Oreochromis niloticus: one gene and its partner. The protein of the gene in region 2 interacts with the protein of the main gene of each other region in a pairwise test. Links are inferred from orthologs where the notes say so. Each region holds a gene or a part of one and is shown on either strand. Other genes may lie near its edges.

What was found. The genes of interacting proteins can lie anywhere in the genome.
Region 1: the proteins of lnx1 (region 2) and aida interact in binary tests that used the Homo sapiens proteins (3 or more experiments, as listed by UniProt). The link is inferred for Oreochromis niloticus from reciprocal best matches to the Homo sapiens genes LNX1 and AIDA.

What each region holds. Positions count from the first base shown.
Region 1 is NC_031980.2:14,133,534-14,138,481, reverse strand, and holds the start of aida (axin interactor, dorsalization-associated protein), read left to right. Parts: upstream 1-1,636; 5' UTR 1,637-1,990; coding exon 1,991-2,097; intron 2,098-2,812; coding exon 2,813-2,879; intron 2,880-2,966; coding exon 2,967-3,020; intron 3,021-4,465; coding exon 4,466-4,520; intron 4,521-4,871; coding exon 4,872-4,935; intron 4,936-4,948. Other genes in the region: E3 ubiquitin-protein ligase rnf8, read right to left, coding at 74-202, 409-549. UniProt on the Homo sapiens protein: Acts as a ventralizing factor during embryogenesis. Inhibits axin-mediated JNK activation by binding axin and disrupting axin homodimerization. This in turn antagonizes a Wnt/beta-catenin-independent dorsalization pathway activated by AXIN/JNK-signaling.
Region 2 is NC_031986.2:37,504,657-37,509,604, reverse strand, and holds the start of lnx1 (E3 ubiquitin-protein ligase LNX), read left to right. Parts: upstream 1-1,826; 5' UTR 1,827-2,125; intron 2,126-4,948.

The DNA.
Region 1 (4,948 bases), on a different chromosome or scaffold from region 2:
CCTGCACAGGACTTGTACCAAAGACCTCTAGCACAGCCTTTAAAATATATTTCACAATAAAGCTCGTTGTCACCTTCTTGTCTGTCACTGTCCAGTGGCCGTCTTCACTTTGTTTGAAAGTGCAGTGCAGTCTGGAGATCATCAGGGGACAGGCTGGAGACAGTAGTTGGTAAGTTACATCCACACCACGTCCAATGGTGATCTGCACAGCCAAAAATAAACACGTTAGTTAGCTCCACTCTGCATCTCTCCAGTTCTATAAAAAACGGACAGGGACACTCTTCAGCTTAAAACAATTCTAAATTATTAACCATAAATTGAGGGTAATGTTCCCCCTACATGTAAACTGGAATCTGCCGTGAACCTGAGCAAGCTTCATGTTAGTATAAATATAGCACGTTAGCTAACATTAGCAAGCTGCACCTCTGTGTTTTCGAACAAGCGAAGCCAGTCAGAGTTTCTCCCGACTCTCATCAGACAAAAAACCTCCGAGTCCGGACATTCATCGTCTTCAACCGCACAGCAATCCGCTGCCGTCTCTTTATCCATCTTATCTCATTCTATCAGCGGCCAAGTCGTCCGAAAGGACACCACTAACTGCGTTGTTTCAGCTCCTCCGCCACATCCCGACATACTGGGAGAAACCGGAAGACATTTCATTTTCTTTCAAAATAAAGGCCACAGATGTGCTTCAACGCTTATCTTTGGACAGCCCATGAATCACTTGGATCCCTCTAAAATCATTTAGTTTTTTTATTAATTCAAAATTTATTCAGCTTTTGCAGACCCAAAGTAGAAATATTACGGTGTCCATGAACATATTACAGTAGGGACAAAACAAGACGTAGAGTTTTATGTTTCGTCACTCATTCAAGTAACTTCTTCAGTTCACACAATGCATTATGCGAATATACTGTTTATAGAGTTGCTAATAAGGTCTGGAATTTAATTGCCTGCATGACTGAGCAACCATCAAGACAAATAAATAAATGAAATAACACTTTTAAATTTTACCCTGAACCAGCTGCTTAAAGTAAATACACCCATTTAGTTATATTAACACTGAAATACTCTTTTTTTTTTTTTACCCTCTCCACTTCATTTTCACCTCAGGAAAAAAAAACAAATCTTTTACAATTGAAGGTCAAGAATTATAATAATTTATAATTATAATAAAAAGTAATCATGTGGACCCTGTTAGTGTTGTAATAACACATGTTTAACTTCAAACCTTTTAATTATTCCTACATATAATAAGTTTGTGTTTGTTAGTTTGCATTTTGTATTGCCTCAAGACACCGTAGACGTCTATAATTTCTTTTGTTTTATCTCTTTTGGTAAGCACATTGAGTATAAGTGTAAGGAATGGTGCTATATAAATAAAACTGACACTGACACTGATATTACACAGTCACAGTCATATTGTATTTTATTATAAATATTATTTGTTTTTTCGTTAGAGCTTGTGTTTACTGTTATTTACCATTCAAAAGCAGTGTAGTGAAAGATACTTATACCTAAAAAAAAAAAAGAAGAAAAAAGTGGAGAATACAACAACAACAACAAAAACCCAAACAGCCAAACATGAACATTGTTACTTTGCAGTATTTTAACCGTAGTACTGCTTCATAACTGTTGCTGGTGTATACAGTTGTTAAAAATCCCTGCACCTTTAAATAAAATAGCTCTTCTTTCTCCCCGCAGCTCTCAAACCTCTAACGCGCCGCGGTGCTCTTCGTCCATTCGGGCGACCCCGAGTCCCGAAACGCGCGCACCCCGAGCTCCAGGCGGGACTTCCTTTCTCCTGCGGATGCGCTGATATTAGGGTGAGCAGGCAGAAAGGGCTTGGTCGGGGTGTCACCGGTCTATCCGCGCGCCTCTGCACAGCAGATGACCTGGCCGACGACTCCGCTGCCGCTGAAGCCCCGTAGATGAATCTCCTCCTCGGCTATGCTGCCCTGAGAGCGCCGCGAGTATCCGCCCCGCCAACATGTCTGATGTCAACAAGACTATTCAGAAATGGCACGCCAGTTTTAAGAAAGGCACAGACTTTGACTCGTGGGGACAATTAGTGGAGGCTATAGATGAGTACCAAATGTAAGTTGCATTCAACATGTGTGTCCTGTGTGTCCACAGCGCTGGTTTAACCCGAACGCAGTCCGGGCGCTGTGCTTCTTCTTTTTTTTATTCTTTTCCTTTCTCTGGGTCGCCTGTCCCTAAAATCTGCAGGGAAACATGTAGGAGACAGTAGGTGCAAGAAGTTAGCCCGTGTGCTGTCAGTCAGCTCTCGGAGCAGTAAATAAACCCTACCCATCCATGACGTGATGTGGCAGTTGTTGCAGTGGGGAGCAGATGTGTTGCCTGATGCATCCTAGCTCCGTCCACAGCAGCACTTTGGAGTTTAAGGGAGAGTCCGTCCATGTAGCCTGTCATGGAAAATCGGTCGGAGCTGCGAGCAGTCTGTTTCATTATGTGTCATGCAATGCAGAAACGGGCCAGTATTCCTCAGAGTGTTGGGAAACAGTCAGCCACACCCTCTCATTGTTATGGGTGGGTTTCATCTGCTGAGTGAGGAATGGTTTCTGCTTCTCAGACCAGATCTTTGTCTTTGCAATTTCCTTAAAATGTGCCCAGCTTCTCTCCCAGTTAATAGTTTATTTAAAACTGCACTAACAATACAAAAATCCAGATCCATGCAGCAGCTTCTACTGTCCGCAGGGGGGCGCACAGACACACACCTTACCTTATAGGAGTCTTGCAGGGTCTTGCAGTGAATCATTAACGCGTCTGTGTTTCATGTGGGTTCGTGTAGTTTGGCAAGACAACTGCAAAAAGAAGTCCAGTCAACAAATTCATCAGACTTCACCGAAGAGCAGAAGGTAATCATTACATCCGCCTGCAGCTTCTGCACCGGAGTGTCTGTCACTTTACTTAAACTAACAAGTGTTTTTTTTTTTCTTTTAAAGAAAACTCTGGCAAAGATTGCAACATGTCTGGAGATGAGAAGTGCCAGTTTGCAGGTTTGTATAGGAGTCTGCATGATTAGTAGCTACAGAAAGGAGGCAATGTCCAGGTTTTCAGAGATGCTGAGGTCATCATTATTATATAAAAGTAAAATTTGAGCATCAGCAGTTTTACTTATGCATATAACGCTTTTGAAAGTGGTCTTGAGCAATAGTTCTCCAGGCTTTCTGAAGGTCTTTCAAAGTTTGTCTTTGGACATTGGCCAATGGTCCTTGTACCTGACCATTTCCAAAGGGAAGTTTTTCCTTGTTAAGTCACTTAACACTAACCTGTGACTCATTCAAGCATAAAAAGGCACCTAATTCAAGGGACAAAACGGTCTTGTATTTACACATATCAGGCAACTTAGCAAAGAAACAATTTAAAATGTTATCTTTAGACACTTTGAGTTTTAAAAGGCATAAAATTGTGTTTGTTGGACTGATTCCCAAAGAGCTATTAACTGAAAAAGTGTCCTTAAAAAATAAAATATGGAAAAGTGTCAAGTATAGAAGAAAAGAAGAAGTGGCAGGCCTGAAATACAAAACAGTGCTTCAAAGCCTTAAGAAACAGGAAAAAATCCAGCAAAAACCTGACACAGGACCTGAGAGATCCATCTGACCCTTCAGCTGAGCCTTGTACTGTTCAACAAAGCTTCATCAGAAATGGTCTCAGTGGAAGGGTGGCTGTCAGGAAGGCGTTCTTAAGGAAAGGAAACGGGGAGAAAAGGCGAAGGGATGCCAACTTAAACAAGAACTGGACTGAAAATCAGTGCCAAAAGGTCTTATGGAGTGATGAATCCAAGTTTGACATTTTTGGTTCAAATCGTCATCGGTAAGTATAGAAGGGGTCAGGAGAGAGGTGTAGCGGTGGGTGTCTACACCCATCTGTAAAACCTTGTAATGATTTGGGGCTGCGTTTCTGCCAGTGTGTGTTAGGGATCTTGTTAAAATCGATGGAATAAGAACACAGAAAAGTACAATCAGATTCTGGTCCGTCCAGAAAGTGTTTGATAATGGCTTTATGTTTCTGCCCAAACACACTGCCAATGCAGGAAAAGTATTCCTGAATACAGAAACACACAAAGAGTCACCGTCAGTCATGGATTGACCTCCCCTGAGCCTGAAGCTCAACATTAATGTGAGATAAGTGTGAGATCGTCTCACATTGAACAGAAGACGACCAACTTCCAAGAAAGAGCTGTAAATGTCATTCAAGAAGCCTGGAGAGCTATTTCTGAAGACTGCCTAAAGAAACCATAAGAAAGTGATCATAAATCTTGACTTTCAAGCTCGTTAGAGTTGTTTTTGCCTTGTATGCTGTATGTTTAAACATTTTTCTCTTTCCCATTATGAATAAATTAGGGATGGCTCGAGACTTTTGCACAGTGCTATAAAAAAAATACATTCACTTCCTGGGGAAAAACAAATACTGAACATATCCTTTGTCTGGGTTTCTTCAGTGCACTCAGTCAAAGGAAGAGTTCAAGTTAGAAGACCTGAAGAAACTGGAAACCAGTAAGTGTATGACTGGGGTTTTTCCTGGCTCGAAATGGGCCTCTAAGGGGCGACTGCAGAAAAACATGATTGGTGTGTGTATAGTAAAGATGTTGAAACTGTGTGGCCTTATTTGACAGAACTCTACATGCATTCCTGTCATTTCTGGGCATTTTGCAAACAAATGTTTATTACACTTTAGTAAATGAAAGACTTTAAAATGTTGATCTGGCGATTTATTTTTTTTTTCCTTTTGCTCTGGCCTGTGGAAAAAATTTCTCTGTGAAGGAAAAACACTGATGAACAATTTACTGGATATTCTGACATGTTTGAATAGTGATATAATCAACTCTACTCCTTTTTCTTCAACAGTAATTAAAAATGTACTCACCTACAACAAAGAGTTTCCATTCGATGTTCAGCCGGTGCCGTTAAGGTAAAAATCCATC
Region 2 (4,948 bases):
CGACCGACCTTTCACTGCCACACGAGACTGGATAAAAAAAGAACTTAATAAAGGCTGTTTCAAATACTGAGTTAAAAGAGAAATAGTCCCTGTCTTTTTGTCACCCAAGTTTTTTTTTGTGTGTTGTTTTTTTTTCTCCATTCGCATCTGCCATCTGAATTCAAATCATTGCACGGTACTTAGAGGAAATATGTCAGAGGAATGTGAAACAGTTAAGCTGTGAAGAAATGGAGAAAACAGTAAAACTGTTTGGTGTGTGTGTTTCTGAGAGATGGAGAAATAAGAGAAAGGCAGGGAAGTTTGCTAGGAAGAAGGTGGAGATTGGTTTCACCTGCACTACAGTGTTTAGATAAGCTCCAGCAGCAGGGAGCTGAGGAATCAGCAGAAATGAAACAGGATGCAGGTTCAACTCAGCACTTCAAAGAGAACTTAAGAGTTCAAGAAACTTAAAATCTTTGATTCACTGCAGCAATACACACTGTATAATTTAGCATAAGGCGAATTTCATGAGCATTCCTGACTCTTAGTACATCCTGCCATATCATACTGTTTGCTGGAGTCCTGCTGAGAAGAGAAGAGAAGAGAAGAGAAGACTGCACTCATTTAGTTCAGAAACTATTACTCATCCTCTAATTTTACAGTGATTGTGAAAATATAAGAGTGGCAAATTTATATCTCCAAATCCAAGAACATTTAAGTTCATGTCAACAACAACAACAACAACACATTTGCAGGATTGTGAGCTCCATGTGAACTGCAACTGAAATAAATTGCACTTGGAGGTAAAAATGGACTAAACAAATGCTGCTGATATTGTGAACATGAGAAAAGATTGAACTTTACTTATCACAATCTTAAAATCGTTAAATAGATTTACTCCTGGTTGGTTGACCCAACTGCAACTGTTTTGCTACACTTCAGTCATTTATTTTCTTTTAAGTAACCCATCTGTTTGTTCCCTTCATGCACTCAAAATAAGCTTCAGATGAGGGGAAAAAAAACCCTGACAGGTACTGCATAATAATATGTTACAAGCGAGTACTGTTTGAGAATATTCTTAATAAACAAGGTAAATGATTCAGCTCTGCCTGCGTCACTGAGTGACTCATAAAGAATTGTCACTTCATGTCTGCAGTGAGTCTGGAGCACCTGTGGCTCACAGTATCTGTGTTTAAAGAGCAGCCTGAGGTAGGAAAAGCAAAGAAGGAAGCCACACGTGAAAACACAAAGGATAACAACTGTTTTGCGCAAAGCTGGAATCACACGCGTGGATTTAAAAGCAGCTTTTCTAAAGGAAAGCTTAGATAATTATAAGAAAGAAAGTCATATACAGCTAGCAAATATTCCAATTTCTGTCTTGTAGAAAGGTTTAAATGCTTACTCTACAGTACCTGGCAACATTATAAAAACCTGAGACATGTTGTCATTTACTCAGATTATGGGCTTTCTGCTAAACTACAGAGCACAGTGTTTCTGTTTCAGTAAGTGGTCTGCAGAAAATCAATCATGTAGGTGTTTAAAATGCTTAGTGGGTTATTAAATCTTTGCCATGTTATAGAAAGGTCCTGTCTGAACTTGTAGTTTAAGGCACTGGTGGCATTTTGCATGACATTTTAGTTAATTAAAAATATTTTTGTTGTTAGCACTAGTCACTTTTGAAATGTTTCAGTTGCCTTTAACAAAAGTTCAAGGTTTCGGTTCCTCTGCCCACACTGTTTTAGAAGAAAATCCAGCTTCTGCTGAACTCCCAATACAGGTTTGGGCAGTTCTCTTATTTACCTTTTCTCTAACCACGCCTCTATTCTCTGCCCACTTCCTGATCACCTTTGCCTGTTTAGAGGTGAGCAGGTTCTGGGCTCACACAGGAGAAATCCTCTCCGCTTTGGACTCATTCCATATTTTATAAAGTCCAGCAGCAGGATAAAATTTCTCTCTTTCTACTTGAAGACTGTCAGTCGGTCTCCGGTTTGCTTGAGTTGGACAAAGTCCTCTTTACGGAGTCATTTAACTCTCCTGTCCTTCCCCTCCACCTCCTCTCTGAATGGTTTAAAGTTACACTGCCTGCCAGGCTTTACCTGTTCAGGTGAACTGCACTGCCGAAAGTGAATGTTGTTTATGAAGCCATGTAAGTATAGTTTCCTATTTTACATTTTATTCGAAGCGTGTCTGTTATTTATCTTAACTGCTTCACTAAAATACACAGAACATCGTGCCAGCAGTTATTGCTGCTCCAGTGTTTGCATGGAAAAATTTGCATTAAATTTGTATGTTTGAGTTTACATGCGAGTGTAGCGTATGTCGATTTTCTCTATTCTCTCTATGTGCGCCGGTGTTAAGTACAGTCTGTTCTGACCCACTCAGCCATTCAGATACAAGTGACGCTTCATGGGGTTTCACATCTGGCTTCAGCTGTTTTCCCAGATTGAGGTGTCAGGTCTGGCTCAGACTCAATGTTCAGATTGCTATGAACTCAGAGACAGGCCAGGATAGACAAACATACACACGAGCCTAATGCAGAGATTAGTAAAAGGGCAGAAATTATACTAATATTTGATTTGCACATCCCGTGTTTATTCTAAAAGGAACAAAATGTGCTGAAGACATCAAAAATATTATGCTGTGTTACATTTGGTGTGCAGTTAAATACTTGATAGATAGCTGGCTGATTGTTGCTGTTTTTTTCCATTGTTTATCGGTGTGTGATTGCAAAACAGATGTTTGCATGAAGAGAAAAAATGGCTTGTTGGAATTTTTCTGTTTCATGGACATGTCTGAACACAACTGCCTATGTTTGGTCTATGCTCTACAACACATAACTTTTGTGCCTGAGTCCAGCCTGCCTTGTGCTATGTTACGCTTAGAGTCCTTGATTGTTGACCTGTCAGCAGGTTATCTGGTACTATTTAAATATTTTTATGATATGATGACTAACCCATTTGTTGATGAGCAACTTATTGTTTCCACTCTCTGAGTGAGTTTTCCCCTAACACGAGTCACAGATCAGTTTATTATCTTCACGGTCTTGAAACTACACCTGTAACAGGTGTCTTCCTTGTCAATTACAGTAACACGGTGCTTTGATTTGACAGACAGATCATTATGTTGCAGCATGAACTAAACCTTGCGTTGCAGACACTCATACTTTGTCTGATTTCTCAGGCTTTGACTTTTACTCTGAGGGTGTGTTTTGTTTGGTCGATACAAATATGGTTTGATGTCTGTGACTAAAAATGAGGAGTGGATTTGTACATAGCAACAAGCTAGCTCAGTGTGGACAATGAGAATGTTGATACAGAAAGTACCTTATTAATGGCTTATTCTTCACAATCATTTGTTAAGAAAAGAAGCTGCCTTGGCATGGCCTTGTCTCTTTATTAATTCATCAAGTCCTTTTAGATCACAGGAGAGAAACCTGACAGTGAATAAACAATGGTAGTTAAAGAAAATGTGCAATCTGTATGAAAGAAGGCACAGGCTATGTTAAATAAACAGCACTCTTTGCACTCAGTTGCATAAGGCCTCGACAACCAACAACTGGCATAACTATAGTTCAAAGATGAAAATAAAGACTACCCTGAGTGTTGTATTTACCATGTAAACATTTTTTTTTACTTTGTAGTCCAAACTGAAAGCCTTGAGCCTGACAGCCCCACCTTTCTCATTCTCTTTGGATACTAGATGGCCGGTGTAGTCAATAATTAAACGTCAACAATATGTAGTCAAGGTTCAGTCAATTAGCTGTCGTGAATGATTTTGTTGTGAGGAAAGAGCAGCAGTCCCACAGGACTGTTGTGACAAAGTGAACTTATCACTTCAGAGATTAGGAATGATCCAGAGTGAGCCAATGCTCCTCAGGCATGGGTGTGTCCACTGAATATGCCTGCATGAAAAAAAAAGGTGTGCAGAAGCATGAAATGTCTGCATGTAGACACATGTAACAGCACTGAGAATATCCCTGCTATTGTGCCATGTTGTATAGATGCTATTTATGGATGTCAGGCTCAACTTCTCCACTGAAAAATTCTTGAGAAAAAATAACTACACCCAATGGAAGACATCATCAATCTGTTGGAATAACCAAACATAAGATAATCTTTGATTGTAAGTTAGAAGAAATGCAATGATCCCAGTGAGAAATTGTTTTAAGAGTTCAAAAATTCCCAGCACAATGACAAACAGCACAAACAGGAATTATATATCTTGATTGACGGTGTCTCTTTTGTCCTGTCTCCATCCCCTCACCTCCACCCGGTCACGGCAGATGGCTGCCCCTCCCTGAGCCTGTTGCTTCTGGAGATTTCTTTCTGTTAAAATGTAATTTTTCCTTCCCACTCGCACCACATGTTTGATCATAGGTGGTCGTCTGATTGTTGTGGTTTTCTCACTATTATTGTAGTATTTTTACTTTACAATGTAAAGTTCCATAAGGCAGCTGTTGTGATTTGACTTGACTGAACAGAACGGATTTCCAGAGAAAGGAAGGGCCTCCCATTAGTTGCGTTGTCTTTCCTTTCTCTGGAATATCTTGCGTATGTTGGGAGATGTTCTTATCCGCAGGAGTCGCATGTAGCTCCTAGTGCTACCTGTTTCTCATGTGGCCCCTTGTGCAATTAAGTTTCCCAGGGGGCCACATGAGAAACTTGGCCTGTTGTTAAGGGCTGCATCAATAGGTTTAACTCATTTCTACTCAATATCCATTTTATCTCTTCATAAATTTCTTCTGGACATTACAATTTGTGAAATTTTAAACACTTTTTATATTTTATACAAAGTGACAAAGTGCATGTATTGACTTCTTTGGTCAATAATTTAAGTTTAATAATTTAATCCTGGTTGTAATAGACCTTGTACCCTCTTAGATTCACATTAAGGAGAAGATAGGATACAAACAGACATATATACATAATTACATTTTAAGTTTATTAAGGGGTCAATATTGGTTTCTAAA